Cricetulus griseus: one gene and its partners. The protein of the gene in region 3 interacts with the protein of the main gene of each other region in a biochemical or structural test. Links are inferred from orthologs where the notes say so. Each region holds a gene or a part of one and is shown on either strand. Other genes may lie near its edges. The genes, in order: Bag2, Lgals8, Lrrk2, Chgb, Mbp, Eif4ebp1 and Ywhab.

Region 1 (4,391 bases), on a different chromosome or scaffold from region 3:
ATATGAAAAGTGTTCTTTTAAATTACAGACTATTACTCCAATTAAATATGGTGTCGACTTGCTTTGTGAGTCCTGGGACACTGGGACATCCTGACAGGAACCTTAAGCAGTAAGAAACCAAAGCAGCGGACAGTGCATTTCCTTGGCCCTGGCGACAACATCATTTCCTGCCTGGGTGGACTGGAAAGAACTACTCCCTATGGGACCATTTGGGAAGTGTACGGACAGCCGACCTCCCAGTCCTACCTATCATTCATTCCTCCTCTGCCAATCCCCGAGACCCAGCTGCTTTATCACCCACAGCTTCTAGAAGCTACTCAATACTTGGCACGTACTGGGTGCTCAATATTTACTCAATTAAATGCTAAATTGATTTTTCTTTTAGTAAAAGCACGTTCTTATGCCAACTGGACAGTTTGAAAAATGATATATTCAACACTAAGACACATGGTGTTTGATCTGAGCAGCCCCTCTTCCTGTGTTCAAACGTGGAGTCCACAGCTCTTGGCTGCAACTTGAGGCATGTCGTTTATATCTGAGCTTCAATTTCTCATCTGTAGAATACAGATAATGGTAACTCCCACAGAGGCATGAGGCCTAGCATGCAGATAGATGCTAACATGTATTATTTATAAACTAGGATAAACATTAAAAAGTAATAAGTAAGCCATCTAGCCACGAAGGGCGCAGAATCCCATAGAACTGGTCGCAAAAATCAAGAAAGGACAGGGTTACCTCTTTAGAGGAGCTGTAGTAGAAAATATTTTTTTTAATGTCAGATAGTGTAGTTAATATTATAAACTAATAGAAACGAACGACAATCCACTAACAGCTTGTAAAACAGGGCTGAACATTTTAAAGCATTTTAGGCAATCCCAGAGGTCAGTTCAGCCTCCAGGATATAAAGCCTTTGATGTGGTTTCAGTTTCAGAAGAAAAAGTGACTTCCACTGTCAATAGAATCCACACAACTGACTGGAAAATGCATACTATCTACAAACCAGGGTTTTACAGCACCAAATCCACAGCCTTGCTAATATTTGTATACAAGGAAGCTAGTATCGGGAAATCACACAAGCTTCATCTTTCCTCTATCATCCATATTTAAAAATTTTGTTTTGTTTTATTTTGTTTTTTTTTAAGACAGGGTTTCTCAGTAACTATGAAGCCAGTCCTGGAACTCACTGTGTAGACCAGGCTGGCCTCAAATTCACAGATATCCACCTGCTTCTACCTCCCGAGTGCTGGGATTAGAGGTGTGTGCCACCACTGCCCAGCTAAAAGTCTAAATTTTTAATAGTGCAGTGCCCTGTGTCAAAGTGGCTTCTAAAAAGGAGCCCCATGCCTTGAGCCATTAAACACACATTAAACTCTCCCTCTCAGCAAATAGTTAAAGTATCAATTAATCACATATGTGCAACAGTCAGAATTCCTTTTACATTAACCAAACATTAGACTGCAACACCAAACCCAAGGCTTTCAGGAACCCCCTCCACCCCCCTACCCAGCACTAGGGAGGCATTAATTCAGGTTTCAGGACAGTGACTCAGCTAAAGAAGAGTAACAACTTCCTAAACCCTTTCAAGGAGAAAAAAATCTGAGCAGTTGAGAATATACTGTCCAAGTTCAGTGCCTACTTTGTAGAGGGAAGCATTCCCTCTCCTCAGAAGGGCTTGAAAGCTGAGGTCCCTTTGTCTCACTCCGGGCTGGGGACTGTATGGTTAAGGCTTCTCTTGTGGCTACTCAGGAAATTGTGAAAAAAATTTCTCACCGTCTGGATCTCTGCTCCTAATAGTAATAATAACAAATGCCTCATTTGTAACAATGCTGCTTGTGGTAGTTTTCTGTGCAAACATCCTCCCGTTTGTTTGTTTGGTGGACGAATGGAAGGAGATTAGGCACACAAGACTCTTATGATTTTGCTCATATTCTTTTGCTTATGCAGAACCTGGAGAAAACTAGGGAACAAAATGTTCGCAGTTCCAGAAGACCCAGGGTGCCTTGATAAGATTTTCATGGAACAACACCTGCACACAATCAAGACTTGCACAACTTCGGAGACATTAACCAGATAGGTAAGATCTCAAATTGCTGTAGGCAACAAAGTATTTACAGCATTTGCTAGTATTTACTATTTAGAAATTTTACTACAACACCGATCCTGCGATAGAATCTCAGGCAGAGTGTGACTCGTACCTTTTCAGGCCTGTGGCTGGCACTTCCTAGGTGTCATCAGTATCTTCTAAATGCACAACAGATACAGACCGAATGCGGAGGGCATTGCACGTGGTTAAGAAAATGAAAGAACGCATCCAACTTTGCCACCCACAACGGCCACTCGTGGGTCTAATTCTCGCTGGTCGCGGGAGGTGCAGTCTGGAATTTTCCTTACTCTTGTGTTACTATGAAGTGGTTTGGGGCAAAGAAACTTACTACAATGGGAAGGTGGGAGGGAGAGACCCCACTAAGCTGCTGCCTCCCTCCAAAGAGCATTACTGGAAACGTGGAAGTTAGAGGCAGCGGGGACCACACACAAGGTTCTGGAAGTTGGGCAGGCCGCGCGCGCTCGCCCGGGGAGTGGAGCCCACCCGAGGCGCCCCCGCCTGCACGCTCACCCGCCCGCCCGCCCTCACCTGAGCTCCAGCTGGTCCAGGCTCTCCAGCAGGCGACTGGAGCGGTCTGCCATGGACGAGGAGCGACAGAAGCGACCCTCGTGGGCCTTGGCGCTGATCTTCGCCTGGGCCATGAGCTCCGGGGGTCCGGGGCGTCCGCGGGCAGCAGTGGCGCGGGCCGCACGTCGCCGTCACCGCGGGCGCCGCTGACGCGGACGGCACCGCCCCCGAGGCCGCGCGGCCAAACAAGGGCAGGCGCGGGCGCAGCCGCCAGCACTCGGGTGGGGGACCCTGTCCCGGTGCCCGTCGCCAGCCTCCCACCGGGCTGCCGGCTCGCCGATGGCTTCTGATGTTTGTCCCAACACCCACAATTCACAGCAGGGACAAAATCGTGCGGCCCGTGACGTGGGAGAAAAGATCCCCTGGTGTAGCGTTAAGACAATTGAGTGCGCCTTAGGGGCAGTCTCTACTTGCCCGACCTGCCGGGTTACCAGGCAGGCTCCTAAGAGGACAGGGAGAGCCTGGGCAACACTGTGCTCCAAATAAGGAAAAGCCAAGTGCATTTATACTGTCTCGCCTTTCTAATGAAAGGTTATTACTTTCACACCCAACTTATTGAAATCCTCCGTGAATAATATTCAATAGGCTCCTGCAGAGGTCACTAAGAGGTGGAGTAGGGTTGAAATACAAAGCCATGTCTGGTTAGAGTTGTGTTTTGTCCTCTCGGTGCACAGAAAATGAGAAACTTGGATTTACAACCTTGAATCAGAACTCAAAGCCATTTGATGACTTAACAGAGTCAAGTCCCTTAAGCACAGCTGGCTTCCAGGTCCTCCACCACCATCACCACCCGCCCCATCCCCAACTCATTTTACATAATAAGGAACAGTAGGTTATCTGGCTTCATTAAACATTGTCATTTCATGACACAAATGTGAAATTTGAACGTTTTGTGAATGTCTTGAAAAATCGAAGCTTGCGCTCATCTCAGGTCTAATGCCAGCTCATCTGGATGTTGATAAAGGATTGTGTCTCTCGGGCCAGAGTGAGTTCAAAGGCCAGGCGGGGTTGCTTTGCCAAGAGCTAAAAATCTCAAAAAGTATAAGGGGCTGTAGACGTAGCTCGGTGGTATAGCATCTGCCTTTGTCCTAGGTTAGCAACTAAACAAGGCAGATGTCATGGATTCAGTGTCTTATGCTCTCTGGCATCTGGTCCTCAGTTGGCTGTTTGGGAACGATTATGTGTGGTCTTGCTGGAGGAAGTATGTCACTCTGGGCATGTTGCAGAAGACTAGCCATTCCCAGTGTGTCTCTGCCTCCTCCTTGGGTTCCAGATGAGTGCTCAGAACCTGTCCTTGATGCCATCGTGACTCTGACCCTCTGTAGCTGAGCCCAATTAAATGATGTTTTGCTTTGTTTTTTGAGACAGGGTTTTTCTGTAGCTTTGGAACCTGTCCTGGAACTCCCTCTGTAGACCAGGCTGGTCTGGAACTCACAGAGATCTGCCTGCCTCTGCCTCCTGAGTACTGGGATCAAAGGCAAGTGCCACCACCGCGGGGCTTAAATGATTTATAAGTTGCCTTGGTCATGGTGTTTTATCCCAGCAAAAGGAACTAATATAGCAGATATCTTCAAAGTAACCATTTTATTTTAATTTTGTGTCACCAGTTGGGCACACACAGAGGCATTTTCAGACTACATGTGTGTTCCTGTCTAAAGATGTGTGAACTCTTTAGAGAGAGTGTGCTTCTGAATGGCCAGGCTCCTCCCATATGACTATA
Region 2 (3,638 bases), on a different chromosome or scaffold from region 3:
GGGATGAGACTGAAGCCCCAACAATAATGGGCCAGTGGTGGTGGGACCACGCCTTGACTGGGACTGCTGAGATGTACAGATCCTTGGCCCTCTATTTAAACTTTAATTGTACCACAGGACCCTACAAATGCAGGCCAGGGGTCACTGGTCCTCTTTGTTGCTCTTCCCCATGTGGCCACATTGACTAAATTCTTTTTCTACATTGAATAACTCCTTTTTCTACATCGAATAACCCCTTTTCTGCACTGAATAACTCCTTTTTTCTGTATTGAATAACTCATTTTTCTGCACTGAATAACTCCTTTTCTGCTTCCCACTATTAATCTGGCTTTTTTCATTGGTTCCTTGAGGATGGATAGCTGAACTTGGCTTCTTAGGGTATGGACTGTGACCCCAAGTTTGGTACACTGAGGCTATCCTAGAGGAGCCTCGTGAACAAAAATTCCACCTACCTGGCTGAAAGGGGGCCCAGCCAGAAGCTGTCCCTAGTCCTGACTCTGCCAACAGGTCTTTAGTGGGACCTTGCACTGCCATGGTCCCTCCTTTCAGGAAAGCACACCAGCTCTACCAACATGCCCCCAGTCCATAAGACAACAGTGGCGCAGCAATACTGACCCTTTGGCATTTGTATTCACTTCTCCTTTAATGACAACAGTTCGTCCAGGGCCCATGGAGGCGTTTAACCTTGCTTCAAATGGCAGGCTCTGAAAAGGGGCCACAGTCAGAATGAGGCAATCTTCAGGCAAGGACCTTGTGGGAAAATTCCTAACAACATGGTGGGTTAAGAGTCTGTGAACCCCAGGAGGGGACAGACCTTTGTTTTCATTTCAGCTGGGTACCATGCAAAGCTCATCTTGTCTAACAGGACACACTCACACAGTGATTGTTTTCACAGCCTGGGTGACACCTGACTCCTCATGCATGAGACATGGCTGCAGAGCTATCTAAGGTCTAATGGGACCAGCAACCCACATGAGTGGTTCAGACACATGCCTGAGGACATGTCTGTCCAGGGAAAGTTACAATGCCAGGGGCTGCCCTGGGCTTCTGCTGGAAGTGGAGGTAGCAGTTAGACCAGGTTGGCCTTGAACTCACAGAGATCCGCCTGCCTCTGCTTCCCAAGTGCTGGGATTAAAGGCATGCGCCACCACCACCCAGCATTAGAACTTAATTTCTAAACAGAGTTAAATCATTGGCTCTTCAAACCTTAGACAAACAGCTGAGGGGGGTGGATTTTAGTGTGAGTGACAGTTCAGTCTATGCTCTTACACAGTTCTGAGTATGATTTTAGAAGTGTCTCCTCTATTACCAGATTATAGGAAACAGTTCTACAATAATGTGTGGAAAGAATGTAGCTGCCTTCAAGGCTCAGCGGTTCATGTTCTGGGTCGTTTATAAAATGTCCTGCAAGGAATAACCAAGCAAAAAAAAAAAGTACTCACCAAATGTGCCTTGCCAGACTTATATACCTGGTGGGAGAGAAAGAAAAGTGAGCACAACCTACTGGGCAGGCTGACAGGTTTGCAAGGAGCAGCCTGCTGTGGCATCATGTATCAGTGCCTTATCTGCCTTGCTGACACAAGCACTGTGTTTCATGACAGGTGCTGTGCAAAGACTTCTGAAGAGCAACATGGACTGGAAGGAAGTCTGGTGTCCTTCATTGTTGGGGCCAAAAAATATCAATTATGATATTTTGGGGTACAAACCTCAGCTCGATCCCAGGAGCTTCAATCTCCCATTGTCTTTCAGATGCTGGCTGGTTACCACTAGATGCCTGGCCTTGGTGGGGAATGGTTCCTAGTTTGTGTAACAATGGACCAAGGCCTCTGGGTAGATGCATACCCATCATGGGGGCTGATGAAAACGTGCCTGGAAACTAGTAAGCCTAGTAGTATACAAGGAAGCTTGTGTACCAGCCTAGGGACTGGTGAGAGGCTGGTGAGGACGTGCAGTTCTAAGACTACCTCTAGGATTAAAGGAAATATTTAATATCAGCTTGATACATGATAATAGATGTCTTTTCCCCACTGTTGGAAAGCTATTAAGAGGATGCTTGAATAAACCATGGACTCCAGTCTCCAGCATGGACTGAGAGCACTCCTGAGATGACAAGATGTGTCTGTCTCATCCTTAATGCCGTGGGGTAGCTAGGAGTTTCCCGAACCACACTCTCCCACTCAGGGATGGACCCGGAGCTGTTCGGCTGGCTCCAATGGCAGTCCCAAAGATATCAGTCCAGAACAGATGGCCTCTGTAGCATGGGACTGATACAGGCTGGACCCTGGCACTTCATGTGAATACTTTAGCACCCACAAATTAATGGTTGTTCAAAGGTTTACATGTGAACTTCAAACACATTTTACCTATCCTCCCCAAGAGCCCTCCAAATACTGACATTGTTATTCCACCTGTAAGCATGGATGTGCAGAGGTGTAAGGCCTTGCTTTTTCCACAACAGCAGTGTCAATTTTACAACTGCTCCTGTTGCCACAAAGGGGCAGAGTTCATCTGCAGTGCCCTTGGTGTTCAGGATTTACAAATGCTTCGTTCCAATATCTCTTAAGAAGTTAGGGTGACAAAGTGCTTTTCACATGACCACAGAGTGGTAGCCATTTAACTAGCAGGTAACATGTCAACAAAAATACAGTGCCCCCCTCCAAAAAAAAATTACGGTGCCCAAGACCATAAAACAGTATGTTCCTTGGTTCTTAAATGACTGCTTCTGTCCTGACCTCACATTAAAAACTTAATTGGTGAAGCTAGGGAGACAGCTCAGTTGGTATGGTACTTGCTATGCACACATGCAAAAGCCAGGCATGGGAATTGCACACTGGTAATCCCAGTGCTGCAGAGGCAGAGAAAGGAGGGCAAGCTGACCAGCCAGCCTAGCCAATAGGTGAGTCCCAGGCTCAGTGAGAGACCCTGTCTCAAAAAAATAAGGTGGAAGTGTTAGGGAGGTGGTCCAGAGGCTAAGGCACTTGCAGAACAAGCATGAGGACTGGAGTTTAAATCCTCAGCACTCACCCATATAAATGCTGGGCCAGCATGGAGGCCTGCCTGTAATCCTAGCACATGACAGGATCTCTGGAGCAAGCTGGCTACTTAAGACTAGCTGAATTGGCAGGCTCTGGGTTCAACTACGAACTCTGCCTCAGAATGCTGAGAACAATCAAGGAAGACATCTAGCGTCTATTTCTGGCTTTCACACACATGCCAACACATGTGAACATGTATACACATGCATATACTGCACACATATACATGCAAAAAATAATTTTAAAAAAAGATGTAGAGCAATTGATAAAGACTTCCAGAACTGACCTCTGGCCTCCACATACATGTACACACACGTACACATGTACCTACACACACATGAATGAATACAGAAAACTCAATAATTTCAAAAACTAAATAAAGACTTCCTTCCACTGATGGTAACTAAGAACATTTTTAAATTACTGGTTCATGGAGAGGATATTTACATTTTCTCTACTTATCTGTGTCAGGCCCAGGGTAGATGTTTCCATACTCTGTAAATCCTACAAAAAGATCATAGATTAACATCATCAGAATCTTTTTAAAATAGTGAACATAATAAAAAAATCAGTGACACTGAGCATGGAAAAGTACTGAGAATT
Region 3 (3,638 bases):
GGGTTCTGTCATCCTCAGCATCGGGTAAACTGGGTGTGGTGGTACATGGCTGTAATTCTAGCATGTTGCATGGAAAAGAGGACTGGAGGAGAGTCAAGGCCATTCATGGCTACAAAATGAGTTCAATACTAGCTTGGGGTATACAGAACACTATCTAAAAAAAAAAAAAAAGTAAGTATTTACCTTTCTTGCTTTCAGGTGGGTTGGTCACTTCTGTGCAAATTAATAGAAGTCTGCCCAGGGACATTGCCGAGCTTAATAGGACCCCAGGATATTGGAAATGATTGGGAGTTCCTCAGAATTCATCAGTAAGTATGACAGATGTGTGGAAATAAACTGCATTGAAGAATTATATATGACACCCTTTGCCATCCAAAACCATTCTGATAAATTCCTTCAAAGCAGATATAGTTTTCTTACATCGATAATTTATATTTATAGAGACCTTTAAACTCAGATTTATGAATTAGAAAACTAAAGTTGATGGATGGTACAATATTAGGTGAGATGACTTACAAACACAGTTCTGTGATTATGTAAATGATTAAATTGTATATCTTTGAGTATGACGTAAGACAAAGCAAGACAAGCTTTTTACTATTAATGGTGGAAATGAGAGAATCCATGAATTCCTTGAAAAACATGGCAACTAAGAAGTTACTTCTGACCAGAGGCCTTGAACAAGACCAGTGACTCTGCAATGAATATTTGCCATTAAGCTGATGGGACAAGGGGGGTGTACTACATAATACACCAGAGCCTCCAGTGTCACCATGGCAAATGAAAAGCTGTTTGAGAGGCAGGAAAGGAGAAGCAAAGAGATTTTTCTGTTGTTGTTTTGTTTTTGTTTTTGTTTTTTTGTTATTGTTGTTTTTGCTTTCATTTGCTTTCTTGCTTACTTTGTGTTATTTTTCTTTTGTGTGTGTGGGGGTGGGCTGCATGGCAGGGATGAAGAAAGGACATCGGGGGACTGGGAGGCAAGCAGAATTGGGGTGCATTATGTGAAACTCCCAAGGAGTCAATAAGAAGTTAAATTAAAAAAAAAGAAGCTACCTCTGTGAGCATTTATTATGCTCTACTGTCTTCATGTGCACATTTGCATGTGTCTGGGCATGCTAATCTCAGTGAAAGTAGACTGTGGCTTGCAAGAGGAAGAGAAAAGAGGAAATGAATTCCCTCTCAACCCTCTGAAGCCTAATCTAGGTGACTATTTATCATCCATTTGGTTGGAGTTCTCAACATAATGTCTTTCATAAGACCACATTCATAACCATAATTAGGTAAAACTTTTTGGAGAAAATTTATAGGAAATGTTCAGAGGAAAATCCTTTTAAAAAATAATGTAGTTTCTGGAGACTTATGAAAGTGTCTTGTCATTAGGTGCCCTCAGACCTAGAGCCACCATGATGAAGATATTATACTCCCAATGTTATGTTACTTGAGAAAAATATATTTTACTAAAAACTGAATTTTATAATCCTTTCAGAAAATTTATATGGGGTAGAACAGTGTGTCTATTCCTAAAGGAGTTATTATAGGCCTTGGTGTTTACATGTTTATCCACTTGTACTATATAGGTGTTGTTAGTTTTTAGTTTCTACCATCTGAAGAGAATGGTTTAGAAAAACAGCCAATTTCAAACTAATTTTGAAATTCCATGTGTCAGTTCTGTAACATTTAATAAAGACCTACCCATGGTATACTTGTAATTAGTCATTCTGATTTTAATGTCCCTTTTGTTTGAGGATTTCCAATTTTCTTCAAGTACAGTTAATCTTCAATATCACTCAGAGACTGTTGGAAATCTCACCTCCTTGTATTCCAGAACAAACCAACCATTTGGGGGGAATTGTGATACTATTTTGATGGGAAATATTCATGTCTTCACTCACAAATTCTCTTGCTTACCACTCAAGTCCAGCCCTCTACCTCCATGGGTTGTCTACACTCCTGCTTTAAGAGAGATCTGAGTTTGTGACCAAGGGAGAAACACTGCTCTCTACACTAGAATATTTTGGGAAAAATTTTGTAAGACGTTTTTCTCTGTAGCCAAGCTTTTCCCCTCCAAAATTGACCAATACCAAAGAGAATTCTGTAGCAGTCATTTGAAGGATGGTGAGCACACATTTTCAGCTCTAGCTGATGCTGTGAACCTGGAAGAGTAGAGCCTAAAAATGAGGCAAAGTCTCATGCAACAATCAACTTTATTCAGAGCATCATTCAATTTATACTCTAATAGTCAAGAAGAGTCACATCAGTATAGTATACAATCACAAGGACCAGCCACACATGGCAAAAATATGTTTTTTTTTTCATGGAGGCAAATAAACAAAGTAAATTCACTCTTTTCTGCTTGCTATACCTGAGAGGGACACAAAAACACACTCCAAGATGAATTCTGTGGTTTTGAAGACACCAAGGTTACAACTCTTGCCCTGTTTGCTTGAAGTTTTCTCACAAGCAATCAGAATTTGCCTTTCATGACTCCATTCTTGGCCTGTGTTCTGACAGAATGCAAGAGGGAGAAGCAGGGACAGAATGGGTAGAGAGATAATTGGCAAGATATCAACAGACCTTCACCTTGCTAGGAGACCAAAGGACATGTTTTGTGAATATAGAAGAGGCTGTGGATAGCACCAGCTCTGTCTTCTTCCAACAACATAAAACAAAATACCACCTGGCAGAAAATGATTAAAGGCTACATATGGAATGGGTAACAGAGATTAAAATCTAGTGAATCTGAGAACAGGTACTATTGATATGAGTTCATTATCTAGTGTGGAATATAACTTTATCAAAGATAGTAGCTAACAATAATTTTAATATTTAAGTAGATCCTGAAGGTTGTGTACAAATGAACGTCTTTATTCAATCTTCCTGTATGTTACTATGTCAACATGCATGACATATAATTCATAAATTCTTATGATGTATCTAAGACATCTCCTCTGGCTATGGATCATCTTCATGGTCCTTTGTGTATTAATGACTAAGTAGGGGCATTTGGAGGAATATAGGTGGGACTTGGCTTCTATCAAGACATAGAATAATACTTCCCTCCTAAGTGTCTTAATTTTTCCATTGTTGTGGGGCAATCCCCAGGCCTTGTATCTGGCAGGCAGGCACTCTGTCACTGAGCTACATGCAAGCATAAACATTTAGGTTTCTACTAAATGTTTCCCTCCAACTTTCCTGAGACATGGTTGATAGCTAGAAAAATGTATGTAGTCAATGCAATTAACTTGTTAATTTGATGCACAGAATCATGTGAAGTTTTTGCCACAATTGATGCAAACAGTATTCCTGGTTATTTCATTTTCTTATTTATATTTTTTGTATTGGTAGAGATTGAAACTGGGGTCTTGGGCATGCTGGGCAAGTGCTCTGCCAAGAGCTACACCACAAGTCAGGATGTTAATTTTATTAGCTTGCTTTTAGTTTGTACCAAGGGAGAATGTATCCCATGAACTTTGATGAACAGAACAAAGTACAGTAAGTATATAGGTGAGTGAGAAACAGTACTTAAATACTGTACGTGCTTTGCCCACATGTGCAGTCAGTGCTTTGTCCACTGGGAAGGCTCCTTGGCTTCTGCTGGATAACCTTTCATTGTCATATGATTTTGCTTTTTATTCTAG
Region 4 (4,431 bases), on a different chromosome or scaffold from region 3:
GGGAATTTGAGGCCAGCTTGGTCTACATAACTTCTAAGACTGCATAGTAAGGCACTGTCTCAAAAAAAGAAAGAAAGAAAAGAAAGGAAAGCCCCAAACAAACAAACAAACAAAACCAACCTCAAAGACAACAACCAAAGATGTGGATATTAGATCCTTACTCACTCAAGATCTTTGCTTAAACAGTTTGCTTCTACATCTGTTTCAATATTATGTTTCCCTGCATTGTATAAAATTGTGTAAACACCATCAGAAGTATCAAGTTCTCTATCCCAATATCATCTAGCTGATAAGGATCATTTAAAAATATTTGAAAAGTGCCTAACAAGCTTTGAAGAAAGACCCCAAGTTCTTCTTCAAACACAGATTAGATAAGACCTGGCTGGCCAACTTTGGGCACTCAGGGTCATACAGGCTTTGGAAGTCCTGTTGTTTTTCCCTTTTCTTTAGTGCTGAAGACTGAGGCTAGGTTCACACACATGACAGACAATCACTCCCCCCAACTGAGCTGCAGCCCCAGTCCTGGGCCATTCTTTTATGCTCCAGACAACTGCTATTTTGAGAACGTACCTTGGCACTTTTCTCTTTTGACCTGAAATCTGTGAAATTCTCTGGAAAGTAACAATGGGAGCTTTGTCCCTAGATGACAAAGAAGTCACCCTTTCCAAATTCAGCTTTCCAAACCTTCTATAGCAATGCAGCTCCACATATATAGTTCTGTCTGTTGTCTCCCCCAATGAAAAGTGAGTACTTTAACTACCCATACAGCCAAAGTACTAACCCTTGTCAGATCTGATGGTCAAGGGATGTCCCATTGTCCTAGACAATTAGCAGTTTACGACTTACTAGTATAGAACTTCCCTGTTTCCCTCAGGCAGGCTCCTCAAACTCTTAATAGAAAGGAACTAGGATTTGCTTATGAAAGCACATTGTGTACTTGGTGAGACTGGTAAGTGACACACGTTTCTTCCAATAGAATCTGTGCTAGCAAAGTAATAACTAAAGATATATTGAGTCTCCTTAACTTTCTCAACTTATTTTTGTAGCAAATAAGAAATAAACACTTATGGGACAGTGAAATAATCAAATGGTTAAAAAAAGGATCAAATAATAAATCTGGGAATAACATCTGAAGTATCAGCATCCATAAGACTATTATGACTATAAAAGTTTAAACCCAGTTGGAAATTACAGCAGCAAAAACAGGTTAAACATGTCCCTCTACCAGTAAATCATGGGCATGCCCAAGTTACAACCAAGGTTGCCAGTCAAACAAGATCTGCATAGTTAAAAAAAATCCTTCTTCATATGATATGGATTCATGTTAATATCTAAAGTGCCATAGACAGTTGTGGATCTCCTTTTATAAGCTCTTAATGGGAGAAAATGAACTAGATGACTTCCTGAGGGCTTGTTACCAACCACAACTTTGCTAAATAACAAAACTATTAGAAGTCCCTCATTGCCAGATTTGGGGAGGAGGAAATAGGGGAGGTGATTGCTAAGATACGGGGTGTCTTTCTGGGGTGATGAGCATGTCCTGAAATTTCATTGTGGAGATGGTTATAGACTGTGACTAGCTTATACACCAGGGAGTTAGACACTTTTAAGAGGCAGCATAATGTGTGAATTATAGCCTAAAAAATGAGAGGGAATCATAGTTCCATTTTAGTTACTATTAAATATGAGCTTTTATTCCTTCATAGGAGGTATGAAAATGTTTAACCACCACAGTTGAGTTACAAAAATGTTACTGTTCTGTAATCTAGAACACAACATACAGTATCACTGTGACCTCTTCATCAATGTCTTTCTGAAATATTATGGACTCAAAGAACTCTAACTGATTCAGTTTGTTTTCTAAAAAAAACTGAGAACATGTATTAGTTATTCACAAGAATGATTTTTAAAAATTGAGAACATTGTGAATGCAATAAAATAAATTACCTTTTGCTTTCATTTTGTCAAACGTTAAATCAAGTGATTCCTGTCCATCAAAGGTTTATATTTATGGAGTCAAGTCTAGTTGGGAATCTCAGTCTCAGAACAAAATACTTCTCTGCGGCCATTCAAAGAAAGCTGCTAGCTTAATTTGGTGTTGTACTTACTCATCAGTATCCCAACACAAACACACTTCAAGCCATCAGAGATCACTGAGTAATTTTAAGAGTAATTTGAAATTCAACACCACAATCTTCCACACACAAATCATCAAATATTAACTCCTTTTGTTTTCATCCTCCAAAATTGACTGAGACATTAGTTTACTGCTCTGGAGATACTTTTATGATTATTACAAAGTCTTGTTATTTTTATTTCTAGATACAAAGAAATATCTAGAGCAAATCCCATTCATAAATTAAAAAACTGATCAATTTAAACGCGAATTACCTCTCTCTATAAACATAAATAAAAAGAATAAATATGTTGACCCTGTAAACACAGACACAGGAAGACCTGAAAATGCCTTATATGCACACGTATCTAATTCTAACTCGTCATCTTTATAATAATAGAGGAAATTTTGCAGGTGCCAATTGCATGCATTCCCACCCTGCTGCGGTCTCAGTGCTGTCAAGAGTCACACAGAGTATCAGACTACAAGGTTCTTTCTAGCCTTGTAGAGAGCTTGAGGTATCTGCAGAGAACACAGAATGCGGCTTTGCTTGCAAGGGCCGCACAGCCCCTGCGGGAAAAGCAGGGAAAGGCTGGGGGCTCTTGTTTCCTCAACTCACAGGGCGGTGAGGCAAGGGATACCAGGGGAAGAAGAGGCTAGGTAAGAGGATGAAACCTAGCGCCTCCAGCACTGGGCTGTGGGCCCAGCTCAGGGAGCTGTCCGCGGTGCTGAAATCCACTCACCGGCCAGAGCTGCAGCGCCCAGGAGGCCGAGGAGCACGGCGGTCTGCATGGCCCTGCTCGCCAGCTGCGTGCCAGGAGGAGCACAGCGGGTGCGGGCTCCGCAGAGCAGCTGTAGCGCGGTGGACGCAGGTCTGGCTCTTATGAAGGGCAGGCGGGCTGCAGCGCCCGAGGGCGAGCGGCTAGCGGGGGCGCCCCTTGCTCAACCCTGACGTCACGGAGCAGCCCCGGGGCGGCGCCAGTGGGCAGAAACTCAGCCAGTGAGCGTGGCCCTGTGCTGGGTCCAACAGGAGCAGGCAGGGAAGCTGGAAGGCCAGGTGCTGTCTGTCCCAGGCGAGGAGAGACAAGGGTCCAGCTCAGATTGCACGCGCCTGCGCTCCAGCTCCCCCGCACATACCTCAGAGCTTGCAGATGCGAGTTTGAGGCTGTGGGTACATGTGCTTCTAATGTGTGTAAACGATGAGGTCAGCTTTGTGTCTCCTCTGCCCAGCCGAGGAAGATCCTTGCTTAGAACACACAGGCGGTTCTCAGACCTTTACAAGAAGAGTGATGGCTGCACACTTTAGGAATCTATAACTTGCTCTTGGTTCAGATGTTAAGTCAGTGTATCTGTCTTACCATCTGTGACTCTGTCTGTCTTCCATTTGTGGACACCTCCCACCCCACACACATAGCTTATTCAGATGGGCTTTAAAAAAAATCAGATGGGCCAAAAGGATACACTGCAAAATTATCTCGCTCTTTTAACCACGGTTTCCAAGTTCAGTTCCCGCTGTAAGCAGTTTCTGTGGATTATTCCTAATTTAGTCCGGAGCATATGTAACTGGCACTATTCCTCTCCCTCTCCCGTCCTTTCCCTCTTTCCTCCCTCCCCTTCTCCCTCTTGTTGCACTGAGTGGGTATGTTGATGTTTAACCAGCTCTTCCTAGTAGACATTTATTTAGGTTGTTAGCTCTTCTTCTTCTTCTTCTTCTTCTTCTTCTTCTTCTTCTTATTCTTCTTCTTCTTCTTCTTCTTCTTTGGCCTTTAGTTACTTCTTTATAACAGGGGAATAGCTGAAGGGCAGGGTATGAAGTAACCACCTTGTAGGAACTACTACATCCCTGAAAACCTATTCATCTTTGCTTGCTTTTAAATTGAGATAGAAATGCATTTTAATTATGTGTGCAAGGGAGATGATAACATCTTCCAGATTATTTTTGACATGGATTCTGTTAGCCTAATAAGGAATCGGGAAAAAGCACAGGCAAGTATCCTGCCCAGAACAGATACAATCTGCTCTGATAACAGATTCTGAGGAACATTGAAACTTAACTTGAGATCTCTTTGGTTAGGTGATGAAATTGCCTACTGACAAACCAAAAAGAGATTTCCAGTTCCTTCTCCTGAAAAGTCTCTAATTCTTTTTGCACATGATGAGTATATAGATAGATTCATCTTCCTGGAAGATTGTTTTTACCAAAACTGCAGCTACAGAATGTATGTTTTTACATTTCCTTTTTGTTTTTTTTTTTTTTGGAGGGGGGTTGCATTGCTGGGGAGAACATACGGCCATGGGCTTGCAGGCAAGCACTC
Region 5 (4,151 bases), about 160 Mb from region 3:
TTGGGCACGCTAAGCAAGTGCTCTACTACCTACGTCCCAACCATCCACTCCCCTGCCCTTTCTCTCCTCCCCTAGAGCTCACAAAGCCCAGAGCAAAAGAACTTTCAGAGCCACAGTGCGGCATCTTTAATCTTTACACCTCCTGAGTGTAGCTCCTGGTAGCTTCAGAATCGCTAACAAGCATCTCCTATGGACTTTGTTTCTAGGCTAAAATTTGCCCACCACAGATTTCAATAGAGACTTAAAGCCTTCATGGAAGAATGTTCTAGCAGTTTTCCCATGTGCTTGGGAGGCACAGGGACTTCTGATGTGTTATCTCTTTGTTGCAGCATAGGACCTCCCAGATTCCTTTAGTGTGCTCTGGGGGACTGGTAAGAACCTGTCTTTGCAAGCAATAGCTTATTAATGTGACGCTGGGTCACAGGGACACTTGCTTTTCTTCCTTATCAATAAAGAAAGCTAAGCAAAGGATACCAACTAAGATGGGTGTCTCTATGGTCAGGCCACCTGGGGGATGGAACCTGGATGTTTTAATAGGCATGGCCACTAGCTAGTTGTGGCCTTAAAATTTTACTTTTGGTCATATGTATATCTGGGTGGGGGTATTTGCATGTTGTAAAAGCTGGTACCCTCAGAGTCCAGAAGACTGTGTCGGATTCCTAGGAGCTAGAGTTACAAGCAGTGATGAGCCAACTGATGTGGGTGCTGGGAACTTAACTAGGGCCCCCTACAAGGACAGGGGAGCATCTTTAACCACTGAGCCATCTCTCCATCCCCTAATGGTGGACATTTAAGAAGAAAGGAAGGGGGGGGGGATGAAGCTCTCCCACTTCAGTTAAAACTTAAATGCAGGAGTCAACAGTTTTCAGTATCGAGCCTGGTGTTTGGTGAGTGGTCAGTCAATGCCACCTGCTATTGGGAAGGCAGGGGAAGCTGCTGACATTGGAAAGAACCTGGAGAGGGGCGAAACCCACATGGTGGAAGGCGAAAGCTGACCCCTTGCAAGTTATCCTTTGACCTCCACACTTGTTCACCCACCTATACCCATAAGTAAATAAATATAATCTAAGCATTAAAAACATAAAGAGCCTGAAGAGGAAACCAAGATTCAAACAAAATAAGCTTTAGCACTCCAAAATCCAGGCTAAACTGGAACATCCTTGAAAGATGGGGCTATGTTCTTTTTCTGTGTTCACAGATTTTTTTTAAAAAAATCACACACACCATTTCCACCAAGAACCAACACTTCATATCTAGACAGACATCAAAAGTGGATTTGACACATTTTTAAAAAAATCTCAAGTCGATAAAAGTACGCATTTCAGAACAATTAAATTCTTAGGCGTTGCACCTCACATTCACGATTATTTTAAACTGTTATTTTCTCTCTCAGGTTTCTGTTTATCCAACCGAGAATCTGGGAATGTCTACACGAGCTGGGGGGCTGTGCACCTGTTATGTGGTTATCCTGCACTCCAACTTGGGTTGGCCTCTTCCCAGGATCCCATCCTCTAACACGGGTGCCCCCACCCATCCCAGAGGTGCCGGTGGCAGGGGAAGCTCTTCTGGGAGAGCCATGAGTAGTGAGTGAGTGGTCCTTTGAGCTCATCTAGACATAATCTCCAAAGCCACAGGTCTTAAATGAGACCTCCCTAAGGTTGCCTTCTTCTAAAGAAATGTTCTAGTTGCATGCCCGGTGTCCTGCGCAGGCAGAGGCGATGCCTGTCCAGTGTCTGATGCCTCCCACCCGACAGGCTCTCACGCCCTGCTCCAAGACTGTCCCCAACGGCACAGATCCACTCTCATGTGGTGTGGTGTGCTGTGTGGCTCAGCAGCTGTCCTGCTGGCAAGCGTCAAGTGTCAGAACTGATTCCTCAGAGAATCACAAACCCTTGTCCAAGCCTCGCTCCACCTCCCAAATCAGGGGACTAGAGAAACACCTCAAAATCCCACACAGGGTACGCACATCCCCTAAAAACCAGAGGCGTTTACAACACACCAAAGCAGAACATGAACACGAGGACTGTCCCCCGGGGGCTACTGGGACCCGGCGCTTCAGCAGGACCAAGAGATCAAGTTAGGGCGGGAAGACGGGGCCGGGCTGGACACAGCGCGGGGGCCAGCAGGTGGGCAGGGTGGGAGAGGGCCTAGGAGCCCGAGACAGGCCCGGAGAAGGCGGAAGCCTGGACAAGTGCCTGTCGCCGCCCTCTGCTCGAAGAGGAACTGCTTCTCCTTGTGGGGAAGGGCAGAGCAGGGCAGGGCTCGCACGAGGGCCAGCAGGTGTGTGGTTAGCAGGCAAGGCAGGCTTAGGTGGGCCCCTGGGCGCCCTCGGAGCCCATCAGGACCCCTCTCCGCACGCGGACGGCTGTCTCTCTAGACCGAGGTCACCTCCCACCTCTAAACTCCTCCCCTCACCATTTTTAGGCCGCTCGAGTTTCAGCGACCCCGGGGTCCCCAGGCCTGGCCGGAGACCACTCCGGGCTATCCTGCAGGCTCCTAGTCCCCACCGCTGTGGACCTGAGTCTACACTTGCGTCCACCACTTGCCAAGAAAGATGGGGCTGCCGACGTGGTTTCGGTCCGAGAGGTCGCCCAGCTGCCACCTGCGGGGACACCTGCTCCTCTGGTCAGTTGTGACCCGGGCGCTCCTGGCCTGGGGAGGGATCAGAGTTCTGGTGCCAGTACCGAGCACCCTTCCCTTCGTCTCTTTGAGAGTCAGGCTCGGTGCCGAGGTCTCCCGCTCTTAGGGGCGCGGAGACAAAGGCTCCAGGGCCGCCCCGCGCGTCCCTGATGACGATCACTCACCAGTGCTGCCTGCGCCTTGGAAGCCAATGGGCGCCCGGGAGCCCGGCAGGAGGGGCCCGACGCTGGGCTCGGGGTCGCTGGGCCGCGGGTACTGTGTTTCGGGTCGCCAGGCGCGGGCCGCCTGGGCCAGAGGCTCGTCCTCGCTGGCGCTCAGCAGCGGTGACTGACAGCGGCTGCTCCGGGGACGGGCGCGCACCCCGCTCCCGCCCCGCCTCCCTCTGCCTGCAAGCAGGTAAATGCGCGCCACTGGGAGGGCGGAGGACAAGCGGGGACCCAGGGGCAGGGCAGCCCTGCGAGCCGCGGGGCGGGGCTTTGCTCGTCACCGCCCTACGCTCCGCACCGCTGCTCTCGGAACCTTTCCTGCTTCAGAAGCCTGGACAGCGGGAGCTCGGAAGAGAGGTCTAATTGGCATCGCTCGCCCTGTACCATGGGTTACCTTGATCCCTGGCACCTGTTCCGGATGAGAAGGTCAGCCGGACCCGAGGTAGTTTTTGTGTTCTGGGCCTGAAGCTGGAGCTGAGACCGCAGGTGCTGGCTAGAGGGCCCAGGACGTCTGTTGTCACGAAGGAGGCTAGTGACTCCAGCAAGGAAATTTCCCTTTCTGCCACTGAGGACCCCACTGTGCTTACTTGAACACAGGTTCCCTGCTGCCACATGGATCTTTTGACTCCATCAGCCTGACTCAGGGTAGGTGGGAGGAACTAGTGGAAGGGGACCACGCTGAGTAAGTCTCTAGTTCTTCGTGAGATAAACATTATGAGGGTATCAATCAGACAACCTAGGGACACACACTATGCATGCAAAGAACAGAGGACAGGAAGTCTCAGAGCTGGCTCCTAGGGAGTTTCCAGGCGTTTCACCTCCTCATGGAAGGTGGAGGATCTTGTGACTATTTCCAAATGCCAGTCTTTCTAAGACAACTATTTTCACAGTAGTGTAGAGACACCTAACTAGTCCGTGCACCTAGGAGCTATGGTATACGAGGGGGAGTCGGAGAGGATGTAGGTCCTGGGATTTGGAGGTAAGGATAGAAAAGCAGGGGAAAGGTCCTGGTCCAACCTAAGATGGAGTGACTTTAAGCCTGTTTGAAGCAAGAGGGCCACCCAGGACAGGGATGTCCAGTGCTCACAGCTGGCTTGATGCTCAGGACATCAGAGAATGTTAGAACTTTGGGTCCCATTCCAGGCATCAAAACTCAATGTCAGCAGCCAGGAGACAGATGTGTCCCAATGTCCCTGCCCTGCAGGTGTCAGTGAATCTGGGAGCTGCCTAGCCACAGTGGGAACAACAGCCTCATGCCCTCCAAGGCTTCTGTTGATTCCCAGGAACAACAGGTTTCCTTCCCAG
Region 6 (4,215 bases), on a different chromosome or scaffold from region 3:
ACTTTTTGAGATAAGGTCTCACATTGTCTGGCCCAGGCTGTACCTCAAACTCACTGTAACCATGCCTGGCCTCAACTTTGTGGTATTTATCTTGTCTCAGATTCTTCAGTATTAGAACTATGTGAGCTACAGCCCAGTTCTAGCTTTCTTGTTTTCTTTGAAACAGGGTCTTGTTGTGTATCATAGGCTAGAAGCCTTGATCCTCTTGCCTCAGCCTCCCAAGTGCTGGGACAAGTGTGTGGCACCATACCTAGCTTGAGTGTTGAGCTTTGTAAGCAGGCCCTCCCTGGAATCTTAGTTCTGGGAAATCTAGGGCCTCCATTGCAACCAAACAAGTCAAAAGCAAAACTCCTTTCAAAATGCTTCTCCCAAAGGGAGGAAGGTGACCCGGTATGTTCTCAAGTGTGGAGAGAGACAGGCTAGCCTGGACTCCAGCGAAGGTTGGCATACATTCAACAGTATGACCTCAGGCATTTATTCGTCAGCTGTGTGATCTTGTGCAAAACCCTGTCCTTTTCTGAACTTCAGTTTTCTGCTGTTTGTGGTTGTTATTGATTGCTTGCTTTGCTTTGTGGAGATGTAGTCCCACTAAGAAGCCTGGGCTATCCTGTAACTCATGATCCTTCTAGGGCTTCAGCCTCCCCAGTTCTGAAATTACAGGCATTCCCTACCACATGGAGATTGATAGATTCTCTATCCTATTAGACATGACGGTCCTCCTTGCCACTCCCCTCCCCTCCCTACCAAAGTGTTGGAATAGACTACAATTTGAGGACTGTTGGGGAAACGTCTTTGACCAGCCCATCCTCTACAGAGGTCCGATCTTGCCACATCAGATTTACAGTCAGTTTCCAGCTGGCTGGCTAGTTCCCTCTTAGTCCACCACTCCTTTCAAGGCCAGGGATGCGCATTGTTCAGCCACTGCTCTGACTCCTACAGCACAGTGGAAACGAAAGAAGCGTTAAGATGGGCGAAGGATCAGCCCACCCTTACTTTCTTCTAGTAGGAACAGCTGGGGATCGAGAGATCACATCCTAATATAGAAAGCAGGCCGTCTAGTGCGCCGAAAACGCGGTCACCAAATCGGAGAGCTTTTCCAACGTCACCCCTATATAGCTCTTCTCAGTGCGTCGGGGAGGGACCCCGGAACCTAAGGGGCCAACACTGGGGTTCCCGCACTGGAGAGGGCAGAAGCCGCTAGGTCAGCAGCTGGGAACAACTTGCATGCAGCGGGCTGGAGCTGGGTGGGGCCGGGCGGACCTCAAGTCTCAGGGGGCGTGGAGCCCAGGCGGAAGGGGCGGGCCGGGCTGGAGAAGGGCTGGGCCGAGGTGCCGCGGGGCTGCTGGAGGGTCGTGGGCGGCACGTAGGAGACATGTCTGGGGGTAGCAGCTGCAGCCAGACTCCCAGCCGGGCCATCCCCACTCGCCGGGTAGCCCTCGGCGACGGCGTGCAGCTCCCGCCCGGGGACTATAGCACCACCCCGGGCGGCACACTCTTCAGCACCACCCCAGGAGGTAGGCGCGGGCCGGGGTTGGGGCGACCTCCAGGGCAGGAGGGCACCCCGGGATCCGGAGTCGCACGTGCGACGGGGGTGGCGGCGCTCAAGGGTTCCATAGCTGGACAGAACGGATAGGGGCGTCAGGAAGGCTGGAGGGTAACCGTCTCGGTTGCCCGCCTGCTGGGTGTGGTGGAGCGTGGTCTGGGGGCCCGTCTGCAAACTGCGCGCTTTTTCCTGGGAGAGACCGCGGAGTGCCCCAAGCACACAGATAGGCACTCTGCCATGATTACCATGTGCTCAAGTGAGGCCTCTCTGGGTGTCACGACAGTTCTAGGGTGGGTCAGGATGGGGGTCTGGGTGGAGCAGGGGAAGGGCCAGGCCTGGAGATTAAGTTTAGTTGATCTCTCTTGGAATAAAGGACGCCTGCACACTTTTTAACCTTCCCCGGGCAACCCTCGTTTTGCGTTGGGACACTCGCTTATTGATGAAGGCTGGGCGTTGAGGGTGCTCTCTGCCCCAGGAGCACGTCTCGGCCACCTGTGGCATGAAGCCGATTTAGAGAGTGAGATCTCCAGACAGGGGCCTGGCGCTGCGTCCATGGCTGTGCAGAACAACACGTTCCTCGGGTCTGGGGGGAGGGCACAACGCTGAATTCGCCCAAGTGGCGGAGGATGAGGAAGAGGAAGCTGAGTTGGCGCGGGACGGGGCCGGGCTCCAGGAACTAGGCATTCCCAGCTTGCCCCGAGCCCCAGTATAGGCGCTGATGAAACCTACACGCCCGTTTGCATGATGAAATGCTCGTGGCTCACTACTTCCCTCCCATTCTCGAGCTGCTCCCACCCATTTTGCGCTTCTCCCTTCCCTGATCTCCTCCCCCAAGCTTCTCCTCTTACAACTCAAAAAAACAGGAGAGTTCCTGGCGCTGCGCTGAACCTTGGGCTACTGCAGGCGCGTCCAGGCCACATGCCTTTTTTCTCAAGCAGCTGTTCCTATACCAGGGAACACAGCCAGACCCCAGAACCAAGGCGCCGTTGAAGGGATCTTGTAGATGAGTGTCCAGTTTGTGCCTCTTGGTCTTCAGAACAACCCCCCCCCCTTTTTGAGCGCGTGTCTGTTATGCATTGTCACGATGTGTTCCTAGCAAACAGGTAGAGCGGGGAAGGCATTCTCCCTTTCATTAGAAATGGCCCAGGGAAAACTCTGCAGGCTTCTGGTCTCCCTTTCCTGGAGTTCTCAGAACTTTCCTGGCCTCTTCTAGTTCACACTCTTGCACCCTTTCTTTGTCTTGTTACAGAACTTTGTGTTTAAGCACAAACTTGGCAGACAGTTGAGTCCTTACAGGTGAGGCGTGAATCTTTTTTTTTTTTTTTTTTTTTTTATGTACAGGCACTGAGGCAGGCTTAAAGGCTCAGGGAAACCCTTTTTGCCCCCCCCCCCTTTTTTTTTTTTTTTTTTCGGATGGACAGTACTGTTTGTATGAAGATCCACTTCACACTATGGACTGGGAAGTGTCAAAGTTGGCAAATCATGATGTCCCAAAGCCACTGGCCCTTTGTCAGGGTGTTTTTTTTTTTTTTTTTTTTTTTTTTGTGGGGTACACAGCCCATAGCTTGAGGAGAGTCTATCTCATTTCTGCCAAAGCCAACAAGCCTGTTCTTTAGCTAAACAGTTGGATCTTCTTCAAGGGCTATTCCTTCCAGGGCTTCTCTGCCAAAGTGGAGAAGCTTGACCCATTTGCTTCAGAGTTTCTCATTACTTAGACCCCCAATTAAATACGGAGTTGGAGTACAAAGGTCTACAGAGTGAGTTCCAGGACAGCCAGGGTTGCATGAAGATCCACTTGCCTCTGCCTTCCTAGTTCTGGGACTAAAGGTGTGCACCACCACATCTGGCCATCCAGGCTTTCCTTACTGTTACATACCTTTTGGGCTGTTTCTAATGGCTCTGACCTGTACTTCCTTGGAAATCCATCTAACTTTTGAATTTTTCTACATATATCAAGGGCTGGCTGGGAGACAAAGGCCATGTTAATATCCTTGAGATTTGCTATGTCCTCAGGATCTATAGGAGTATATAGCCAATAAGCTTGAAGCAGGACTGAGATATTGCCTAACCATTTTACAGGATTTCCAGGTGAAAGGGACAAGCGACATCCATACATGTGTTATTTGCCTTTTCAGGTCTTTGGGAGTCTGGCAAAGTAGATTCCATCCAGGCATGAAGTCAGGCTGGCATTTCCTGAACTTAGGCTTTTCTGTACATCTTGGCTTGTGATTGACCCTTAGGGGCTGTGAGCTTTTCATGAAGGAATATTGCCTTAAGTCCCTTCAGCTGAGATGGCTTTGAAGCAGTTGTCTTGGGGAGGCCATGAGGGAGGCCAGAATGCCAGGACACAGCAGGTGGCCTGAGCCTCCTCCATTCCTGTGGTCATTATCCCTTTGCTGGCCCACCCAGTTAGGTATTCTGAGAACCTAAGACGTTTCTGAGGGGAGTGTCCTATGTGGGTCTTTAAGATGGTCAGCAGTCCCATAAACAGAATCTTCTAGTAAAGGCCCAGGATGGATGTTTGACCTCTGACGAAGTTGTTGGGGTGCCCGTACCTATTAGTGCCTGGGTGAGGTTAATCAGGCGAGCAGTCAGGGTGGCAATGGTAATGACCTGCTGTTTTGTTAAGCAAGCAAATTGGTGCATGTGAATTAAATCCAGCACTTGGGGGA
Region 7 (4,343 bases), on a different chromosome or scaffold from region 3:
AGACAAAGGCTGATCAATGGCTACTAAGTTATAGCTACACAAGTGCTGCAAGTTCAGCTGTGCTATGCACTGCATCTTGACTACACAAAGTATGGACCCTGTGTCTGTATTTCTCAATGGGCTAGAAGAAAAGACTTTATTCGTCAACAAAAAGAAATCATGTCTGGCCAGGCAGTGGTGGTGCACATCTTTAATCCCAGCATTCGGGAAGCAGAGGCAGGCAGATCTCTATGAGTTCCAGGCCAGCCTGGTCTACAGTGTGTTCCAGGGCTGTTATACAGAGAAACTCTGTCTTGAAAAACCAAAAAAATCATGTCTGAGGAGATAGGCTATTTAAAGATCCCACAACTTATACAACTATTTTACATATTTAAACACCGTGGCATATATTCATTTATATTCAATTATTTTTTTAAAATAATTTTATTTGTATTAAGAAAATCTACATTCCAGAAGCTTTTTTGTTTAGTTTTGCTTTTGTTTTTTGAGACAGGGTTTCTCTGTGGCTTTGGAGGCTGTCCTGGAACAAGCTCCTGTAGACCACCCGGTCCAGAAGCTTATTTTGATTCAGTCTGCCACCACACATCAAAAGTTATGTTGCCAGCCCAGCACAGAGGTGCTTACCTGTAATCCCAGCACCTAAGAGTCAGAAGAAGCCTAAAGCAGTGAGTTTGAGATTAGGCAGGGCTACACAGCATAAAGGTGGGAAAGAGGGAATACCGTTATCATATGTATGGTCCAGATGAGAAAAACTGGACTTGCTACATGTACAGTTACATAATATATCATTTTTCAATAGCAAGTGGACAGAACAAGACTGTGTCTTATCAGAAAGGGAGAAAGAAGAATGTGAACTCAACCATTAAAATACAACAAAATCAAAGGTTTATACTTAACAACTTACAGTTTATAACTGTGGAGATAGGGAAACTAAGAAGCAGAGATAATTAACTTCTGATGATCACTGCCAGAAAACAGTACAGAGAAAGAACTGAATCAAATTTACCTAACGTCATCTTCAGTGCTGTTTTTGGATCCACAGCCAAGTGGGAAAAATGCACTTTTTGCAGCAACCCAAATCTCTGGAGACCCTTGCCTAGGGAACAAGCACCAAGGGAATATGCTCGGCCTGGTTTCACACAGGCTGCCTCCCTGATCCATACAGCTCCAAGTCTAAAATGGCTTCAACGTAACACAAGCACTGCATCATGGGAAACGTACAGAAGATTAACAGGGTAAGAGCCATACTCCAGGGGCTGGCAGTCCATAAATACTTGCCATAGATGAAAGAGCATATTCAGTCTGAAAGTAGGTGTGTGGTTTAGGCCAAATCACCTCATTTCTCATGAAGACTTCATTTGTAAGATGGGTGAATGGTTTCTTATCATGTTTGAAGGCAGAGGTTAGGAAAATAATTCAGCAGTTGGTAGTGGATTTTCAGTCTTCGATTTCTAAGGTCATGCTTAAAATTCTAACTTGGATGAAGAAAGAAAGAAAAACAACAACAACAACAACCCAATATTCTCCATCTGTATGCTGCCATGGCCGTCGATCTTTAAAAAAAAAAATATATGAATAAAAAAGAAAAAGAAAAAACCTCGGACAACCCTAAGAAATGAGGTCCGCTGGATGGAGGCAGTCAAGAAGAAATCCACCAAAAAATCAAGTTAATATTCTATAAATTCCCAGCAGCTAAATGTAAAACGCTGAGTAACCTCGTGTTCAGGCCTATAAACTGTTATGTGTGGTTTCACAGAAACACTTGAGATATGGTGAGAAATGTAATTTTCACATTCTCCTTAGTGTTGCAGCTTTCTGCATTGGCTCCTGTGACATTACAGACTCATAACATCTTACAGATTGCCCCTCCCACATCAGACAAGTAAAAGCAAGAGTGGAATACTATCTGGTCTCACCAAAGGGAATGTACTGAAGGCAAGGACAAGACTTATTTTACAGAGAGACTGGCAAATTCTCAGCAAGGCTGCCACCTTTGGAATCCGCCCTGCACGCAGGTTCTCCATTTGCAATAGACCCAGATGCGCTCATCTTGGAAAGAAAGGGTCCACATCCCGCCCACTCCTTCCCCACTAACAGACAAATTCCAAGCAGTAAAACACAAAATAAGCCAAAAAAAAAAAAAAAAGGTGTTTGGAGGAATTTGGGGCGCAGACACACGAGATTAAGGCAGTAAATGACGACAAATATCATGAGAAGCCTCAATTCTCAGCCTGATCTCCCCCCACCCCTTTGGGAATCCGGTTTGAGTCAGTAAAACGATTCCCACAAATCCATTTCTTGATTCAAACCTCAACCCCGCTGTCAAGAGAATCTCGGGTCCAGCCGGGTTTCCCACACCGGCGATGATGAAACAGCTCTACTGCAGAGTGGGAGAGGGATTCGCCCCAGCTGTCGCCAAGGTTAAACCCTTGCTCATCCAGGGGAGTGCAGCAGGGACTCGCTCGCCTTCCGCTACCTTTCAGTTTTTGAAAGCCACAAAGGAGCGAGGTTGACAGGCCCAGAGGGAAGGCTCCGGGCCCGGGGGGAGCAGGCAGGGGCGGCGCCGAGCAGAGGAGGTGCCGAGGGGAGCCCGCGGCCCAGCCGTCCCCAGCCGCACCCCGTGCGGCCCGCCGAGAGAGAAGCCCGGGCTTCCCGCGGAGGCGCAGGCCCGGCCGGAAGCGGGGAGGGGCGGTGGCGAGACGGGCCGCGGCCGCCGCCCGAGAAGGGGCTCCGCGCTGGGGCCCCTGGGAGCCGCGCCGCACTCACCGTGGAGGACTGTAGCGAGCAAAGGCGCTTCCGGGAAGCTCGGAGGGCGGCGACTGCGTCTTCCCCAGGCCCACTCCTCAGACGGCGGCAGCAGCGGCGGCAGCGGCGGTGGCGGCGACCGGAGCTGCAGTGGCGGCGGCGGCAGCGGCTACCCGGCTCAGGAATCGGCGGCGGCGGCGGCGGTGGCGGCAGCTGCACTTCCGCTCCGGCCACCACTTCCGCTCTAGCCCAAGTCCCGCCCCACCCTGAGCCGGCTCCTCATTGGGTGAGCGAGGCACGGGGTTGCCCCGTCCTCCCGAAAAGGGCGGTGATAGCCGGAGGAGGGGAAGTCACGGAGAGCCTAGAGGGAGCGGTCGTGGGAGGGCGCAGGGCCTGGGTGGGAGCGAGGTGGGGGCGGACGCGGGGAAAGGAAGTGGGGTGGGGAGCAGGAAGAGGAGAAAGGAGAGAGGGCGGAGCTGAGGTGACCGCCCGAAGGCTGGGATGTGTGAGAACAGGGCGGGCTCCCGGAGGGAGGGTTCGGAAGCTCGGAGCGTTCTTGGTCCAGGTTCGGGGGTCATATGTTCCCACCCCACCCTGAAAATAATCCTCACGGAATCGGAGGCCCTCAGTCCTGTTAGCTGTGCGCTAAGGGAATGCTTGTAACCAAAGGAGAACAGAAATGGCTCAGCCCTACTTTTTCAGTAATTCCTATTTCAGGCCTAAAAGGTACTTACTGTTCCTCTCCTAGACCCAGGAAGCTACGTGAAGTGTCAGGAACAGAACACTCTCAAGGTCTTAAGAAAAACAAAAAACAAAAAACAAAACCACCCTCTGTATATGCATTCTTCACTGAGATTCCCTGGTCCCCAAGTATCATTTATAGGAAAGCCTCAAAGACAGGAATCCGGGGCTCTCCAGACGGTTTTCACTGTTACTTGAGATTGTTAATACTCCCGTTGACCCTTAAATCTAGCCCTTCAAAATACCTCTATCACCACTCCTTCACTTTTCACAAATTCTGTGTGGCAGCTTTCTGAACGCTGGAAAATACAGCAAGGGACAAGACAGACGGTTGCCCTGCTGTCTTGAAGCTTACAGTTCTTCGGAGAAAGAACAAATAGACCTTTGTCATTTCTCCCTTACGTAGCTTAATGATAGATTTATAATTCACCACTTGACTCAGAGCCCTGCCCCCACCAAATGCCAAGTGATCTTTTTTCATTGCCATTCTGTGTGTCCAGAACTACAGACTCAGGCATATAGTTCTATGAGTAAGACTATCAGAACTCCCCAGAAGCTGCCCTTAGTGGTTGTCAGCACCCCAATTCATTTATGGAGCTCCCTATTCTCCCAATGTACTTTCTCAGTATTTATAAACAGTTTGAGATTGTTGCTTAGGGTTTCTATTGTTGTGATGAAACACCATGACCAAAGCAACTTGGAAGGAAAGGGTTTATTTGGCTTACACTTCCAAATCACTGTTCATCATCAAAGGAAGTCAGAAAACAGGGCAGGAACCTGGAGGCAGGAACTGATGCAGAAGCCATGGAGGGATGCTGCTTACAGGCTAGCTCAACCTGCTTTCTAATAGAACCCAG

What was found.
Region 1: the proteins of Lrrk2 (region 3) and Bag2 form a complex in vitro, tested with the Homo sapiens proteins (2 studies listed by BioGRID and IntAct, with this or other methods). The link is inferred for Cricetulus griseus from reciprocal best matches to the Homo sapiens genes LRRK2 and BAG2.
Region 2: the proteins of Lrrk2 (region 3) and Lgals8 form a complex in vitro, tested with the Homo sapiens proteins (2 studies listed by BioGRID and IntAct, with this or other methods). The link is inferred for Cricetulus griseus from reciprocal best matches to the Homo sapiens genes LRRK2 and LGALS8.
Region 4: the proteins of Lrrk2 (region 3) and Chgb interact on a protein array, tested with the Homo sapiens proteins (3 studies listed by BioGRID and IntAct, with this or other methods). The link is inferred for Cricetulus griseus from reciprocal best matches to the Homo sapiens genes LRRK2 and CHGB.
Region 5: of the proteins of Lrrk2 (region 3) and Mbp, one has a biochemical effect on the other in vitro, tested with the Homo sapiens proteins (6 studies listed by BioGRID). The link is inferred for Cricetulus griseus from reciprocal best matches to the Homo sapiens genes LRRK2 and MBP.
Region 6: of the proteins of Lrrk2 (region 3) and Eif4ebp1, one has a biochemical effect on the other in vitro, tested with the Homo sapiens proteins (3 studies listed by BioGRID). The link is inferred for Cricetulus griseus from reciprocal best matches to the Homo sapiens genes LRRK2 and EIF4EBP1.
Region 7: the proteins of Lrrk2 (region 3) and Ywhab interact on a protein array, tested with the Homo sapiens proteins (2 studies listed by BioGRID and IntAct, with this or other methods). The link is inferred for Cricetulus griseus from reciprocal best matches to the Homo sapiens genes LRRK2 and YWHAB.

What each region holds. Positions count from the first base shown.
Region 1 is NW_023276807.1:14,226,987-14,231,377, reverse strand, and holds the start of Bag2 (BAG family molecular chaperone regulator 2), read right to left. Parts: upstream 2,817-4,391; 5' UTR 2,746-2,816; coding exon 2,633-2,745; intron 1-2,632. UniProt on the Homo sapiens protein: Co-chaperone for HSP70 and HSC70 chaperone proteins. Acts as a nucleotide-exchange factor (NEF) promoting the release of ADP from the HSP70 and HSC70 proteins thereby triggering client/substrate protein release.
Region 2 is NC_048596.1:236,458,968-236,462,605, forward strand, and holds part of Lgals8 (galectin-8), read right to left. Parts: intron 3,540-3,638; coding exon 3,483-3,539; intron 1,470-3,482; coding exon 1,443-1,469; intron 705-1,442; coding exon 616-704; intron 1-615.
Region 3 is NC_048595.1:388,196,273-388,199,910, forward strand, and holds part of Lrrk2 (leucine-rich repeat serine/threonine-protein kinase 2), read left to right. Parts: intron 1-198; coding exon 199-308; intron 309-3,638. UniProt on the Homo sapiens protein: Serine/threonine-protein kinase which phosphorylates a broad range of proteins involved in multiple processes such as neuronal plasticity, innate immunity, autophagy, and vesicle trafficking.
Region 4 is NC_048599.1:45,789,221-45,793,651, forward strand, and holds the start of Chgb (secretogranin-1), read right to left. Parts: upstream 2,909-4,431; coding exon 2,860-2,908; intron 1-2,859. UniProt on the Homo sapiens protein: Secretogranin-1 is a neuroendocrine secretory granule protein, which may be the precursor for other biologically active peptides.
Region 5 is NC_048595.1:233,085,310-233,089,460, forward strand, and holds the start of Mbp (myelin basic protein), read right to left. Parts: upstream 2,935-4,151; 5' UTR 2,805-2,934; intron 2,674-2,804; exon of another isoform or gene 2,547-2,673; intron 2,541-2,546; exon of another isoform or gene 2,416-2,540; intron 1-2,415. UniProt on the Homo sapiens protein: The classic group of MBP isoforms (isoform 4-isoform 14) are with PLP the most abundant protein components of the myelin membrane in the CNS. They have a role in both its formation and stabilization.
Region 6 is NW_023276807.1:56,590,378-56,594,592, reverse strand, and holds the start of Eif4ebp1 (eukaryotic translation initiation factor 4E-binding protein 1), read left to right. Parts: upstream 1-1,307; 5' UTR 1,308-1,372; coding exon 1,373-1,514; intron 1,515-4,215. UniProt on the Homo sapiens protein: Repressor of translation initiation that regulates EIF4E activity by preventing its assembly into the eIF4F complex: hypophosphorylated form competes with EIF4G1/EIF4G3 and strongly binds to EIF4E, leading to repress translation.
Region 7 is NC_048599.1:15,522,207-15,526,549, forward strand, and holds the start of Ywhab (14-3-3 protein beta/alpha), read right to left. Parts: upstream 2,901-4,343; 5' UTR 2,767-2,900; intron 1-2,766. UniProt on the Homo sapiens protein: Adapter protein implicated in the regulation of a large spectrum of both general and specialized signaling pathways. Binds to a large number of partners, usually by recognition of a phosphoserine or phosphothreonine motif.